Coturnix japonica: one gene and its partners. Each later gene encodes a partner of the first gene's protein in a complex. Links are inferred from orthologs where the notes say so. Each region holds a gene or a part of one and is shown on either strand. Other genes may lie near its edges.

Region 1 (5,504 bases):
TCGTGCTGAATCCTTCCAAGGAGATCGCTCCAGCGTTACCTCTCCAGGTCCTCGCTTTGCTCCTTTTACCAAAAAATGACAAACTCCATCGTGCATCATAAGGGCTCCAATCGTCACAAATGGGAAAAGAAAAAGCTTTGGAATAGCCAATTGAGTTGAATAAAAAAATCCACACGAATGCGGTTTGGTTGGGGCAGGAATCCACTCCTACGTTCCTGGTAATCTGATCCCGCTCCATGAATCCTTGCCATTCAGCCTCCCTATCCTATCCACATTATGATTTGAATCCAATGATCCAGCTCCAAGGATTGGGATCCAGTGAGCCCTCTCCAATCCAAACCTTTATAACCAGCAAAACCAAAAAAGAGGAGGCAAAAAGTTAGATACCGCAATGAAAAAATAGGATTCTGGGGAATGATCAGTTATGTTTGCCATCAATTAATACAGATGTACAGTAATAACTATCAATTCCCCAAAACAAGCTTCTGAATGGTGATGCTATATCTTTTGTTCTCTTTAAGAAACGTTAATTATTTGGAGGAAACACTGCAATATTTACATATGTCAACTAAAAATGCCAACATACTCATTGCTCGTACGGTGGTGCTCTACAGCTTCTGTGGTTGCAAAAAATGTTTATGAAATTGGAAAAGTTTTACTGCTAAAGCTGTCACCTACTGCGCCTCTCAGCTACGGCCAGCACCCCCGGCTGGAAGGTAACAGAGGAACTAACTGCAGCTCTCAATACGGTGAGTCAGCTCTGAATTAGGCTGGGGAAGGGCTGACAAACGATTCCCAACCAGGTTCTCTTAGGATTTGGGTTTTTGGCTTTTTTCCCTTTCATTCTGATACTTAAAAGAAATGAAATAGCAACGCTGTATCAGTCACACAGAGGACATGCAGATTTTAGCAGTATTGATATTATACTCCCATTTAAAGATACCCTTGATCCGCAAGCGTGGAAGTACTGCGGGCCGTTAACGCTTGGAACCAAATGCCGCGGGACAAACCAATGCTCCCACCCCTGTCCCGGTTTACTCCTTTAAAAAAAGACTAGAATGGAATAAGGAATTACACCGGCAAGTACTGAGCCACAATTGCCAAGAGGGTTTTAAAGAACAGAGCAATTGCAGCCCGCAGTGACCAAGAGGTGCCTGAAGAAGTGACACGCAGGCGCACGTTCTCAATTCACCTGTCTCAGTATAAGGTCAATACTGCCAAGTTCATCTGTGACAATAGCACTTGGAGTCATACCATTGCCTCCATTATTGATCTGATCCTCCTCAATCCTCCTTTTGACAATCCTAAAATGATTGACATGTGCTCCACAATCCTTTAATCCAAAGCATTCTTAATCCATCTCTTCAGATATGTCTACAGAAAGACACACGAAAAGGCAAGATAAAATATAAGATCCCCCAGAAGAGACAAGTTAGCCACAAACATCCCAACATCCCCAGCTCGCATGAACCATAGCTGAACACTGAGACATTTACACAGCAATACCACAGTTTGAAGAGTGTTGGTATTTAACTAGAACTAAATTGAAACAATCCTGACTGACATCAATTAAAATACAGTTTACCAAAGACATGAGGGGGAATGTTGTTGTTACGGAGCAAATACTCACTAGGGATTTTACACAAGAATGCAATTCAACACTTCAGCCAATCTGAATAAAACAGCTTGAATTTAAAAAAAAATAATATTGAAAGACTGTACTGAGTAAAGGAAAACTGTGTACAACATGGGGTTCTACAAAAAGATCAGAGCTAGTGATCGCTTATGTACGAGATCGGGATCTGCTGTGGCGGGGAGAGTAGCGTGGAGATCCTCTGCTTCTTCTTGGGGAATAACTGCGGCTTCTGCTGTTGCTTCGACTACGGCTTCTGCTACGACTACGGCTGCGTGACCGAGATCTTCCATAGCTTGGACTTCTTGGACCATCAACTTTAACACGGATGTAGGCAGTTTCTCCCTATTGAATAGACACAACTTTCGATTGAAAGGTCTAGGCTTCGGGGCCATCGTTTTAGGCATGCTGACAGACTGCAGATATCTTTACTAAGGCACAGAAATAGACATCAAACTCTTAATAAAGTCTATTTCGTGACAAACTGACAGCAGACTCAGTTTAGCTGCTTCGTGTATTAACGCAATGATCACCACACATTCCTTACCTTCACATCCTACTGTTAAGCCCTTTGTATCCAATTCTGGCCAAAAACAAGTAAGCGTGAAACCTACCTCATGAGATCTAAACTTAGTGTTATCCAGTTTTCGCACAGCGTAGGTCATATCTTCCTTCCGTACAAACTCCACGACACCAGTTCCATCTCGGAAAACATCAGCATAACATACATCACCTGCTTCACGCATGTGATCCTTTAAATCCTGCCAACTTCCACTTGGAGGCAGTCCTGGATAAAAAGCAACACCTGGCTTTAAAACCCAATGGTGCGATCATATCATAGTATCACAGTCTCGTGCGGGTTGGAAGGGACCTTAGACATCATCGAGTCCAACCCCCCGCGATTTGAGCCTTCTGTGTAGCAGAGCGGCACTTCTGCCACTTGCGCCACAGGGGATTCGAACCCAAGGCCTCCGGTGTTGCAATTCCAGCATCATCCCGCAGCACACGAGCAGAACACCCTGCACACAGCCCACAGCATCCAGCACCCCTCCCCCATCCCGAGGCTTCGCAGGGAAAAGCGGAGCCGCGTCGCCCCCCGCGCACGGCAGCACGAAGGACCCGGGGGAAGAGAGCAGCGACTCACCCGAGACGATCACTCTGTACTCCGATCGCCGGGACGGGGGGCCGTATCTGCCCCGCGGGGCTCCGCCCCCTCCGCCGCCGCCGCCTCCTCTGCCGGTCCCCCGGCCGCTGCGAGGGAACTCCACGCGGAGGCGATACCCATCGTAATCGTAACCGTCCCGCCCGTACACGGCGTCCTCGGCGTCCCTGCGGGTCGGGACGGGCGGTGAGCGCGGCCGCGCCCTGCCACGCGCCGCCCCCCGCAGCGCCTTTGTTCCCAATACCCGCGGCCCCACCCCGCCCCCACCACCACCATCAGCACCACAACCACCATCACCGCCATCACCGCCACCCCCAGCGGCGGCACCGCGCCGGGCCCGGAGCGCAACGAGCCGAGCGTGTGTGTGTGTGTGTGTGTGTGTGTGTGTGTGTGGAATAGCGCGCAGCGGGAGCGGCGCCGCGCGTGGAGGAAGGGAGGGAATGGAGGGGGGGGGTATCGGCGCCCGGCGGAGCCGTTCCCGCCCGTGCCCCAGGGCCCCGCGGCGCTCACCTCGGGTCCTCGAACTCCACGAAGGCGAAGGGCGGCCCCCCGCGGCGGTTCTTCAGGTCGATGTCGCGGATGGCGCCGTATTTGTAGAACACGTCCTCGATGTCCTTGGTGCGGATGTCGGGGGGCAGGTTGCCCACGTAGATGCGGCAGTCGTTATTGCCGGCCGGGCCGCGGATCACGCCCCCTCCGGACATGCCGAGGTCGGCAATGGCTGCGGCGTTCAGGGGCCGGGGCGCGGAGCGCGGGCGGGCGGGCGGGCGCGGGGCCGGGCCGTGCGGACGGGAGCGGACACGGCGACTCCAGCAACCGCCGCTTCAAAATGGCGACCGCGGCTCCCCTCGCGCTCGCAGCGCGCACTGATCTCGCGCACTGATCTCTCTCACCCCGCGCCGCAGCACCGCCGGGCCGCGAGACCGCAATGCGTTCCGAGTATCCCGCCGCGCTCTCGCCCTCGCGCATGCGCGGCAGCGCGGAAAAGTAGTTCCTCTCTTTTGCCTTTCGCCTCCGCTGCTCCGCCAAAGCGGCTGTGGCCGCACAAGAGGCTCCGCTCCTGCCAGCGAGGTCGGGATGAACGTGAATATCCGCCTCCGATCCCCGCTGTCCGCACCGGGACCGCCGCGCTTCTTTCCGCTGCCGTCTCAGGGCGCCGGGCCGTGTGACGTCACTTCCGGTGCGGCGCTCGCGCCAAGAAGTCCCGGCCGGCGCTGGGGGTGTCCCACAATGCACCGCGCCGCTCGGGGCTCTTGGCGCCAAGGCGCGGGGCGTGGCCCGGCCCACAATGCACCGCGGGCGGGTCGGGCCGTGCGCAGCGCTGGGCGGGCGGGCTCGGTACTGAGCGTCCATTCCCGGCCGGTCCGAACCGATCCGTGTCCGCACGAAGCGCTGCGGGCGGATCCGCCCTGCGGCTGCACGGGGTGCACGGGGAGCGGGCCGTGTGGGTCCGTCAGCCGCTCAGCGGACACTGTGTGGGACGGTTGGGACGGGCTCGGTGCGGAGGCAAAATGGCCGCCCCGAGGGCACGGAGCGGGCACCGCGTCACCGCCCGCCTCAGGGGAACGCGGCGGGGCGGGCAGCGGGACGGCAACGGGATACGAATAAAGGGCAGGAACACGGCAGGGTGTGATGGGGACTGAGTCATGAATGGAACAGCAGTGCAAACACCGGGCGGGTGGGAAACGAGCGGAACTGGGGGCGATGGCGGGCGCTGTGTACGGGTGTGAGCAGAGCCGGCCTAAGGGCACAGCCTAACTATGGGCAGAACCTTCCTATGAGCACAGCCGAACTATGGGGGCACGAGAATAACGCCGTGCTGAGTTTGTTTTCTTGATGAGGTTGTAATTGATGTGAAGGCACAGTAACACACCGGGATGTTACCCTTGTTACTCACACGTCTCTGACATTTCTTCAGGCAGCAGATGTAATTTTGAACGTATAAATTGCTTTTAAGTAATGAGGGTGCAATTAGATGAGCCAGGCTTTGGTTTAACAACAAGAATTCTTTTGGCCTGTAGCTGCTCTGTGGTGACACAGAAACTCCAACATCCACTTTTCTTTCTTTAATACAGCATAAAGTCTTTGCCTGACCCATGAGGGCAGAGCAGTCCCTGCTCTGTTGGCTCACACTTGGCTGCCTGGACGTTGTGCTTTGCTTTGCAGATGTGGCAATGCATTGAGGGCTGGAAGTGGCACTGGGGCACACAGTGGTTGCCTGCCTGCATCCAGCACCGCTGAGCCTGCCTGGTGCTGGAGGGCTGAATCTCAGCACCACAGGGATGGGGAAACAGCAGCTGAGCATGGAGAAAAGCCATTATGCTCCTGAGTTGATGAGGGGAGTTTGAGGAATGTGTCCGAGCATTTAGCAGTGGCTGTTGTGCTCACTTTGTTTTCATTTGTTAATTCAAAGCGTGTATTCCTCCCACAGACAGTGACTTACAGTTAGAAAACATCCCATAGTGAAAACATTTTCATGACAAAGTTATAGTGTGCTTGGTTATTATCAATGCCTTTTATTTTTGTCCCTGTGGGTTAAAGTGCAGTAACGTCCTCTGCTCTAATGGTTTCTGACATTAGTGATGCCTGTGCTGCATTGCTGGTGCTTTAAAGACTGCTGTCAACCACAGGAGGATGTGATGAGCAAAGCCCACCAGCAGAAGCGGTGCTTTACCCACATACAGCTCATGGTTCTGGGGGATTTCCTGC
Region 2 (5,241 bases), on another chromosome or scaffold:
GCAGATGAGAACTGAGTGTGCGATTAAAACATTGCTGCTCTGGATCAGCTGCTCCCCAGCCCTTACCTTCAATGGGTGTGCAGTGAAACGAGTGGGCTATTTTGTTCCACGCGTCTGTCACTTGTGTATTCTGGATGAAGAACACATGTAAACACATTAAGGGTTTAGAAATCAAACCAGAAGCACGACTGTTAACTTTCACCTGGCAGGGTTTGGTGATAAAACCAAGTGGTGCTCTGACACCTCCAAAAAAAGGAGGAATGGTGGCAGGCTTCCATTTTTAATCCCCCATCAATAAAAATAACGTGGAACATGAGGTCAGCTCAGCCTCCTGCACTGCACCCGGTGCCTTCTCACACACCATTCCTTTAGGAGGTAACACAGGGAGCTTGAGAGCAGTGCTGGAGGTTACTGTAATAGTAACATGGTGCTGAAGGGGAACGCCTATGGCTGCTGAGGTGTCTGAACAGTGGGCAAGGAAGAGCTGAGCATGGCACAGAGGGTCAGCTGTGTGCTCAGAGAGGATGGGAAAAGCAGCACTGCTCCTCTATGGGTCCTTACAGGGATCCAGAGCTGCTGCTACCCACCCTGGTGCTCCCAGGAGCACTCAGCTGTCTGCAAACAGCTGCCTTCAGATTCCCCACATAGATGGGCCATTCTTCCCAGGCGATGTCACAGGCCTTTATATTTTTATGCACAGCCCATCTTTGCAGAGCTCTCCCTGTATCAGGGCACACTCACACACCCTGTTTCCCTCACCTGGTTTCCAGGCTTTACCAAACGCAGCGCGGCCTCAGCGCAGAGATGAGCTGCCTTGATGACATCAGCTTTACGGCCTGACACAGGTTTTTCCTGAAAGAAGAGGAAAAATAAAGGCTTGTAGGGAACAACTCCTTTTCCCTCTTATCAGCAAGACTGCCATTCTGGCTGCCTAAAGATAGAGATACAGTGTGTGGGATCTAAATGAGAGCAGGAGCACTTCTGGCTTCCCAGCTCTGCCATTAGTCCCTTCCCTTGTTAAAGAAAACCTGTGGCCAACCTACCTTTGAGGCATCTATGACAAAACTGTGTGCTACATTTGCTATGAAGCCATCGACGTGGACTCCCAAGTCACTGCAACACAAAGAGAGTTAATTACAGGCGAGGCCTAATGGCTCGGGAAACTGGTGTGACTTCTCAAAGCATTCGAAGATGCAGGTATATTTAATAAAGCTTGACTCGATTAGCTGCTATATTCTGTAATTAGACACGTCGAGGAAGTACTTAACACAGCAAACAGGACTAAAATGCAAAGCCTGGATGCCAAGAGCAAGCATTGATGCAAGAGAAACATAATGAAGATGCTTACATTTTGACCAAGTCTCCATCTTTGAGGATGTAGTCCTGGTCACTCTTCAATGGGGAGAAGTGACAGACACAGTTATTTACTGATATACTCGTTGGGAAGGCAATACCTGTAAAGGAGAAAGAGAATAGTCCATGAAGACACAGTACAGGCAGTGTGGATTGTCACTAAGTTTGAGCTTTGGAAAGCTAAGGTGCCCCACTGAATAATCCCTTGGTGAAACAGCACGAGGAGAGCAGTGTGTGGCACTCTCCTGCCCCAGCAGCTATCAAACAAATTGATCCTCAGCAGTAAGACGTGTACAAAAGGGACCCCAACTCTCCACACTCAACTCAGTGACACACTCAAGTGTCACACTGTTTATATGGCAGCTACAGGTTGATTGCTGAGCACAGGGCCGGCCTTGCCCAAAGGAAGGACACTGTTATCCAAAGTAACTCTTTTATTTCAGTGAGTGGAGCATTGAACTGGGAAGCACCAGCTCAGCAGTGATGCTTCCAAGCAGGACAAGCTGGACGAGTTGGGTTTCTGCACTGCTGCCCACTCATGTCAGCTCAGCAGGATCAGCCCAGTGACCCACGTTGGTGTGCAGGCCTCACCTTTTTTCATTTCTTTTTCCTTCTTGAAGATTTTGCCCGTCTCCTCCATGATCATGGCATCTCCCTTCTCACACAAGCACAGAACCGATGCTCCCGAGTTCGCCTCCTCGACCACAGCACGTAGGACCCCTGTAAAGCAACGCAAGACATGGAACACGTTAACCAAGCTCATCACACAGCACCAAGTCTGCTTTGTTAATGACTTTAGTCTTCATCCTGGATTCAGCTTTGCACTGAGTGAGCTGGAGATATGCAGAGAACCCATTTCAATCCATATTGCCTCTTGAGAACCAAGGCAGGAGCAAACCAACTTATGCTGGGACGTGCACAGGTGAAGCACTGCAGCCTCACGAGGTGCACGGAGGGTTGGCACACAAAGGAGCTGAGCAGAAACACTGCTCTCCCACATTCCTTCCGCAGCACTCAGAGCTACAGGAACAGGTTTGAAAACTGCTTGGGAGACGAACAGCACATCAAAGAGCAGAGGGGCAGCCGCGGGCGTGTGGGACCAGGAGGAAACCGCCCTTACTCTGCACAACTGTGTGTGTACGGCAGCGCTGCACCCACACTGGGGCATATTGTGGTGTGTACAATTAGTAGTTGGCTGCTGGGATGGGTGTCAACGTGCCTCTATAGAATGAGGGGAAGGATTGTGAGCCCAGCACTGCAGTTATGCTTCATATTACTTCAGTAATCTTTCCACAGGTCCCAGATGTTGGTGAGGAATATAAGAGGGAGTGCTGTAATAAAGACCTTTAGTTGATAGCAAGGGGCTGAAAGGTGAGAACAAGGGGCATTATTATCCTTACCTACCTAAGGAAGGGTAGACAGAGAGCTGGTGTTTGTCACACTAAGCAGGGAACCCCTCTGAGCTGCTCTGTGTCCCATAGGCACCACTCTACCAAGCAGGGAAACCCTCTGCTGTTAATCGAGCTGCATTCAGGGCAGCAACAACAGCGCAATGACCCCATCCCACCCCGGGGCTGCGTTGTATGTAGGTAGTACGGCCCCTATAGCCCCTCCTGAGAGGATCCCACGTCCTTATGGCTCGGGGAGCACCGTGAAGGGGCCAAGAGGGAACGGCTGTGGGCAGAAATAAACGAGCAAACAGCAGAGGGTTGGGGGGGGGGACAGGGCAGTGTCCATGTAGTGTTCATGGCAGTGATCCCGGCAGGAGGAGGGGGGGGGGGTGGGAACAAAAGACCGGGGGGGCTCCGTGGCCTCGTGGCCGAGCCCAGCACTCGTTTATACCGGGAGGAACCGATCGGATCCACTCGGGACGGGGGAAAACCGCGTGGATCCCGCCGGGCCCGGCCCTGCCCTGCCCTCCCCCCCCCCATCCCGGTGCACGTGGGGAGCGGAGGCCACGTGCGGTTCCCCACCCCTTAACACCAGGATCCGGCCCTTCAACAGCCGCCATCGGTGTGTATTACCGGGACCACCCCCCCCTATTTACACACACACACCGTGAGGCCTAACGCCACGCAGCCCCCCCCCAGCCCTCAGCCCCGCGGCCCTGCACTCACGGTTGGCGATGTCCCCCCCCATCTTGTACTTGGTCACCACCAGGTCCTCGGCGATGGTCAGCTCGGCCGCCTCCTCCTCGGCCGACATACTCGGAGCTGCCGCCGGTGCCGCCCGTTCTCCCCCCCCCCGACGCCGCCGCCGCCGCTCTGAGGAGACCCCGGGAACGCGAGCGAGAGAGCGCGAGCTGAGCAGGAGCGCGGGCTCCGCGCGGGGCACGCTGGGAAGCCGAGTCTCCTCCCACTTTCAGGACTACATAAACTCCCGGCAGTACTCGCGGCAAGGCCCAGCTAAGGACTACCGTTCCCAGAAGGCAGCGCGGATTATCCAACCGGAAGTAGGGCCGGATGGCGGAAGTGAAGGACTTGTGTTGGGCCTAGTGGGCTCAGGTCGGGGTCTCAGCCCTTGGTAGGCCTTTCCTTTTAGCCCCTATATCCCCCCCATCACATCACACACCAGCAGCCGGTTCTATTCCAATCGTGTTTATTTTCACGTTAACAAACGAAACCCGACTCCCTCCCCCTTTGGAGCGGGGAGGTGACCGGAGTGCATTGAAAAGGCCTCTATGAGGCCTACGGGCACGGCTCAGGCCTGCCCCATAGAGCCCCGTTGGGTGCTGGGGTAGCGCGGCCTGCAGTCAGAGTTAGCCTTCAATCCAACCCCTAAAGGAAGGAAAGAAGCAGGGCCCCCATCCACGGCAGCTGGGAGGACCCCAACCCCACAGGTAGGGCCCCCAACCCCAAAGCAGGGACCCCAACTCAAAGCAGGGACCCCAACCCCAAAGCAGGGACCCCAACCCAAAAGCAGGGACCCCAACTCAAAGCAGGGATCCAAACCCAAAAGCAGGGACCCCAACTCAAAGCAGGGACCCCCGCCCCCAGCCCTGCACATGGGGAGCACCATGGGGAGGGGGGATGCTGGGAATAGCCCTGGGGTATGGCAGTAATGAGGGGAGGACCCCAACCCCACAGGTAAGGCCCCCAACCCCAAATCAGTGGCACCCCAACTGAGTAAAGCAGGACCCAAACTGAAAAAGCAGGACCCCCAACTGAAAAAGCAGGGACCCCAACTGAAAAAGCCAGGATCCCCAACCCCAGCCAGGACCTGCTGCTGCAGCCCTGCACATGGGAGGCACCCATGGGGAGGGGGTGCTGGGCATAAGCCTGGCGGTATGTGCAGTAATGAGGGGAGGACCCCAACCCCACAGGTAAGGCCCCCAACCCCAAATCAGGGACCCCAACTGAAAAGCAGGGACCCCAACTCAAAGCAGGGACCCCAACCCAAAGCAGGGACCCCAACTCAAAGCAGGGACCCCAACTGAAAAGCAGGATCCCCAACCCCAAAGCAGGGACCCCCAACCCCAGCCAGGACTTGCTGCTGCAGCCCTGCACATGGGGAGCACCATGGGGGGGGGGGGTGCTGGGAATAGCCCTGGGGTATGGCAGTAATGAGGGGAGGACCCCAACCCCACAGGTAGGGCCCCCAACCCCAACCCCAAAGCAGGGACCCCAACTCAAAGCAGGGACCCCCGACCCCAGCCAGGACCTGCTGCTGCAGCCGTGCACATGGGGAGCACCATGGGTAGGGGGGTGCTGGGAATAGCCCTGGGGTATGGCAGTAATGAGGGGAGGGGTCCAAGCCCCCCCTCCCAATGGGGGGTTCAGAATCAGCCCCAAACCCAGGCAGGGCTGCCCTCCCCCCCCCTCAATCCCATTCTTCATGTCTCCCATGGGGCTTTGTCTCACACCCTCCATCCAGCACCAGTGTAGGGGG
Region 3 (5,375 bases), on another chromosome or scaffold:
TAAATCAACCGTCAGAAACATACTGAGTGTTTTACCTCCCCCAGTAACTACTCACTTGTCGTCCTTCTCAACGTCATGACACACATCAACAATCTGCAGGATGTTGTGGTTTGCACTCAGTTCCAATGCACCGATGTTGATGTGGACATATTCTTTTAAGAAGTCTTCAGCCAGCTGCCTGACTTCCTTTGGCCACGTGGCACTCCACATCAGAGTCTGCCTGTCAGGCTGGAGAGAAAGATTTTATCAGTACAAAATTAACATATCATTAAGTAAAACATAAACACAGAAGTCTACCCAGAAGTCTGAGCTAACTGCGCTATCCTTATCCTTGTTTTAACAAACACTGCTGTTTCTGTAGTACAATTAAATGCAGCTACCATCTATACTCACTCTTATCTGATCCACAATTTTTCTGATTTGAGGTTCGAAACCCATGTCAAGCATTCTATCAGCTTCATCAAGCACTAGGTAAGTGCACCTCCTGAGGTTGGTCTTCCCAGCTTCTAAGAAGTCTATAAGTCTTCCAGGTGTTGCAATGCAGATTTCCACACCTAAAAAAATTACAAGAAAAAAAAAAAATCAACCAGTAAGTCAGATAAGCAGTTTTCGCATCACCTCACACAGATGCATCCAGATTTATCCTTACCTCTTTCTAGATCACGAATTTGTGGTCCCTTTGGAGCACCTCCATAAATACACGTAGACTTCAAGCGACATGCTCTGCTATATTCAGCAGCTACTTGCTGCACTTGCTGAGCCAGTTCCCGAGTTGGTGCCAGCACAAGACACTAGAGGTAAGATGCCCAGATTTAGTTCCATAAATGCAATTTCTAGTCTTACATTTTAACTCAGAAAGTTGTTATACACCACTTCAATGCCAGACTGACTGAAGTAGAACTGAGTATCTCAAACCAAGTAAACAAAGTTAAGTAACATCTCCATTACTAAACACAAGCCAGTGATGTGTGATAAAATACTCAAAATTCACTGTAGCTTCTAGTGGATGGCAAGTTCCAAAATGGAAGAGCAGCTCTGTTCTGTAAAACTTTATAGAACCGTATCAGAGCTTATGGGCTGTTCCTGGGAGACTAGAAAAAGAGAAACCCAAAACACCACACATGGGCCACTTTAAAAGGTTTCCATGATTAAGAACTATGCACTCCTATTAACATGGACAATTAGACTGTGAGAAATCCACCTTCTCTAGCAGCTAAGGTCCTCCTTCAGTTCAGAATACTTACAATAGGTCCATCTCCTCTCTCCAGGAATGGCTGATGATTTATATGCACAATAGCAGGCAACAAGTACTGTTCAGAAGAAAAAAGCCACATTATAGTTTCTTCCCAGGAGCTCAGCCTGCCTTACACCAGGCTGTACTTTCATTGCTGGATTTCAGCAGTACACCACATCATAATCACAACTTACAGACAGCGTTTTCCCTGATCCAGTCTGTGCAACTCCAACCATATCCAATCCACTCAGGGCAACAGGCCATCCCTGTGCTTGAATAGCAGTAGGCTCAGTGAAGTTCTGCCTCTGAATCACCTCCATAACATTTGCTTGAAGAGAAAATTAGAGCTTAACTCACAAGTTGTAAATCAAGACAGGAAAAAAATAAAACAATATGTTGGCCAGCACTTACCAGGAAAGTTAGCTTCATAGAAGTTTATGATTGGTTTTGGACAGTTATGGCCCCTCACTGTGACTTCTTTGCTTGACCTGTACTGCTCAACCTCTTGCTGCAAAAGAAAAACCTCATTACTGGAAACAGCTTTGGCACGGAAGTTAGTGAAGTTACTGCACGCTGGGTCCCATGACCTTAAGCATGTTTGTGCTTGTTTACTTCTGCGTGAGCTGGGTGGGTACATACCGCAGTTCGTCTGACTACATCAGGATGTTCTTGATAGAAGTTCTTCTCAAATTTGGGCAGTTCATCTAAATTCCATTTCTTTTTGGTCAGCTTTTCCCCGGGGTTTCCAAATTTTTTCCCAGAAAGTGGACCAGCTCTACTTCCTCCAAAACGAGGGGCTCCAAACCTAGAGAATATATCAATATTTAGGATCCAAGAGAAAATTTGTTCTCCTCTTGCTATTATGTAACCGCTGTCTTTGTGGTATGCCCTGTAACTTCACAGTTCAGAGTTACCAACCCCACCTATGAGATATTAAGCTTTCAAAACTTAAGTGGCAGATGCAGCAATCCACCTATCTTCACACTCAGAAGGTGAAGTAATGCATTACTTTGCAGCTCCCATAAAACAGAATGGCCTACTGGCAAGATCCAGCACAGGTAAGGAAGTAACATGAACACCGCTGTATTACTCCATGATCAAAATGGTTTCCTACCCAACTGACACTCCCATTTTATCAGCCTACAGAAAGCAGGCAGGGCTTGTTACAAAACCCGGCTACAACTTCCCTCTACGTGTTTTTACCACGTATCCAAACGACAAACTCCTCTCAGTGCCCGTGCGTTGTGAGGACACGCGTTTTCTGTTAATGTTTTATTAACCTCGTGCCCCTCTGTTCTGAGCAGCGACACGGCGCAGCCCATCCGATCCCAGCAGCCCCAAAGCGCAGCTGGACGCGGCTCAGTGCCCGCATGGAGCCCCTGGAGCTGCGCTAACCCGGAGCCGAGCGCGGAGCTGCCTCCCCCCGTCCGGCCGCAGCCCGGCACCGGGTGCGGGGAGCGATCGTGCACCACAGCACAGCGCTCCCAGAGGGGACCGAGCCGAGCGGCCGCTGCTTCCTGCCAGCGCTGTTTCCTTTGTCTCTCATTTCTGTCTACGCCACATTTTCCAGGCGCTGCCATTTTAGAGTCTGAGCTGGGCGGGGGGGGAGGGGGGGTGGAGGAGGAGGAACAAAGGCGGCAGCAGCAGCCGGCATTTTGATTTCCCCTCAGTCACCGCATGGCGGGGCCGGCCATTAACATCCGCTGACACAACACAAAGCGGGAGCCGGCCGGCTCCTGCCAGCAACAGCTCGAGCCGCCGACCCCCTTCGAGGGCAGGAAAAGGAGGAAGAGGGAACCGCCCAACCCTCAGCTCCTCGAGGCTCCGCCATCGCGCAGCGCCCGGCAGCGCCCGGCCAACCCACTGACACACAAACCTCGTCCCGCCGCCCCCCGAGGGGGGGGATGTGGGGGAGCTCCCCGCCAACCACCCGCACCCGAGCGGCTCCAACACACGCCGCCCCCAATGACTGCTCCCAGCTGCCCCGGATCGAGCCGTGAGCCGAGCTGTGAACTGAGCCGTGAGCCGAGGCCGATCCCCCCCCGCCGCCCCCACGAAGCTCCGCAGTCACAAAGCGGAGCCGCGCTCCAGGCCCAGCCCACGGGCCCGGCCGCCATTTTGAGCGGCTTCCACAGCAGCGCGCGGAGCCCCGCGGTCGCCCTGAGAGTCCGGACGCTGGCGGCGACTGGCGCCGGCCGGGCCCCCGGACTCACCCTCTGTCCCTGTCGCTGGAATACCCGGGCATGGCGATGGTGGCGGTGGGCGAGACGGTCCCGATCGCTAAAAAGGATGACGAAGGGCACGACGCGATCCGGCGCCGTCGGTGGGGGCCACAGAATGTAGAACGCCTCACCGCCCCGATGCCGGTTATATACGGCGCCGCGCGGGCTGCTGGGAGCCGGGCGGTGACGCATGCGCAGATCCCTCCCCCGTTACACAAGCGGCCCGAGCCGCCGCAATGCCCCGCCCCCTCGGAATGATTGACGGGCTGCGCGCCGGAAGTGCCCCTCCCTTGGGGGCGGGGCTTGTGCCGACACCGCCCGCTCCTCTCCCCCCCTCCCCCCCCCCCGCGGCTGCGCCTGCGCACTGCGGGTGTCAGGAGGCGGGTCCGGGCCTGGGGCCAAGAGAGGCCTCGGGGTGTGGGGCGGGCAGTGGTGCGATGAGAGGACGGCGGGGTGGGAGATGAGGGGCCGCAGCCGTGTGTGGTGATGCTGTGTTAGATGCTGTGTGTGTGGTGATGCTGCGGCCCCACAGACACTGAGGAACCACCTGGGGAAGGTCTCAAGGGCTCCGAGCGATAAACGGGGCTGTGTTATCCAAATAAACGGGGCTGTGTTATCCAGTCGCTGTGTTATCCAGTCATCGTTACTGGAAGCCCCGCTCTCGCTTTCCGGGCGATTAAAGGAGTTAGAGGCGCAAATCCTCGCGGCCTTCACAGGTTGGCCACAAATAATCAGGAGAGCAGCCGGATTAAATGCTCTGCAGCGCGCTCATACCCTGCCCTTACCCACTGCACGCTTCCAAGCTGCACATACCTGCATTGGATACAGTTACTATTAGTCACTATTTTTACTTTCCCCAGCCATTCAAAGGTCACCAGGAGTGCAGCAGTGCACGCAGGGACAGCGCTGACAGCACAGCAAACATGGAGCAGCTGACGTGGCTGCTGCGCTGCTTATCTGCCTCCTTTGGGAGCCCCAGGAGGAACCAACAGCTCACACCTGTGGCTCTGGGCACAGCAACGAGGTGAGGCCTGGTACATAACAGCTCTACTGGCAGCCCAGTGCACACACACCATAAGGAGGGAGAAATGCCTTCACACTCCATTTATATCCTCCCACCTCCTCACAGAACTCACGGTCTGAGGTTTTTCTGAAACAAAAATAACAAGAGCTGCGTTTAACAGCTACACACATTGTGTTATATCCCACTCCCAGCTCCTCACACACCATGCACTGCATTTCAGTTTAACTGTACACTATCTGAATAGCATTTACGATTCAACACCCCCTCCTGATAAGAACAGGGGGCCCAAAACGAAGCGAGTTATCAAAATCAGTGAATCGTTCACTATTTATTTATACCTTTTGTGTATATTCCTACCATCTGAATCACCTCCCTTGTCAGCCAAAGCTGCAGCCTACCTTGTTTTTCCTCCTTTATAAGCACTTATAACAATCCCTGCCTCCACATTGACAGTACACTCAATATTTGAGATCTGGGCCCCCAAATGATTTACAAACAAAGCATAATGATGGTTTGATTTGGCACGAATTGTTTCCTAACGATTTTATATTGTGGATCCTCCTGGGTGTTGATTTTCAATAGGAGTCACTGACACAAAGAAACAAGCTCCGAAGTTATCCCCTCAAATACCCCATTTATCCCCTCAAATACCCCATTTAACACTCCATACCTACCCACCCTCCTGATGGATCTGCAAACAGGCTGCGTGAAGGCTCTGAAAGTTAGCAGCAAATTATCCGGCCTCTTCTTATTCTTACTTCACGCAGCTTAGCACAGCTCACTCCGATCTGTTTATTTATAACTTTGTCTCTTCTGTCGCTGTGTATTTAACCTTGCTGAGGACCAAAGAAACACAAAACCTTGGGGCCTGCTCTGTGTGTGTGCACTGAGGCTG

What was found.
Region 2: SRSF1 (region 1) and PA2G4 share a complex: the UniProt entries of both Homo sapiens proteins name them as parts of the ribonucleoprotein complex. The link is inferred for Coturnix japonica from reciprocal best matches to the Homo sapiens genes SRSF1 and PA2G4.
Region 3: SRSF1 (region 1) and DDX5 share a complex: the UniProt entries of both Homo sapiens proteins name them as parts of the ribonucleoprotein complex. The link is inferred for Coturnix japonica from reciprocal best matches to the Homo sapiens genes SRSF1 and DDX5.

The regions. Positions count from the first base shown.
Region 1 is NC_029534.1:7,446,373-7,451,876, reverse strand, and holds the start of SRSF1 (serine/arginine-rich splicing factor 1), read right to left. Parts: upstream 3,656-5,504; 5' UTR 3,500-3,655; coding exon 3,306-3,499; intron 2,963-3,305; coding exon 2,778-2,962; intron 2,421-2,777; coding exon 2,248-2,420; exon of another isoform or gene 1,979-2,247; coding exon 1,784-1,978; 3' UTR 1-1,783. UniProt on the Homo sapiens protein: Plays a role in preventing exon skipping, ensuring the accuracy of splicing and regulating alternative splicing.
Region 2 is NC_029544.1:857,826-863,066, reverse strand, and holds the start of PA2G4 (proliferation-associated protein 2G4), read right to left. Parts: upstream 3,706-5,241; 5' UTR 3,559-3,705; coding exon 3,471-3,558; intron 2,074-3,470; coding exon 1,945-2,073; intron 1,455-1,944; coding exon 1,349-1,454; intron 1,114-1,348; coding exon 1,044-1,113; intron 853-1,043; coding exon 760-852; intron 317-759; exon of another isoform or gene 131-316; coding exon 67-130; exon of another isoform or gene 1-66. UniProt on the Homo sapiens protein: May play a role in a ERBB3-regulated signal transduction pathway. Seems be involved in growth regulation. Acts a corepressor of the androgen receptor (AR) and is regulated by the ERBB3 ligand neuregulin-1/heregulin (HRG).
Region 3 is NC_029533.1:7,249,377-7,254,751, reverse strand, and holds the start of DDX5 (probable ATP-dependent RNA helicase DDX5), read right to left. Parts: upstream 3,591-5,375; 5' UTR 3,480-3,590; coding exon 3,448-3,479; intron 2,040-3,447; coding exon 1,874-2,039; intron 1,743-1,873; coding exon 1,646-1,742; intron 1,563-1,645; coding exon 1,429-1,562; intron 1,311-1,428; coding exon 1,245-1,310; intron 792-1,244; coding exon 650-791; intron 555-649; coding exon 394-554; intron 229-393; coding exon 56-228; intron 1-55. UniProt on the Homo sapiens protein: Involved in the alternative regulation of pre-mRNA splicing; its RNA helicase activity is necessary for increasing tau exon 10 inclusion and occurs in a RBM4-dependent manner. Binds to the tau pre-mRNA in the stem-loop region downstream of exon 10.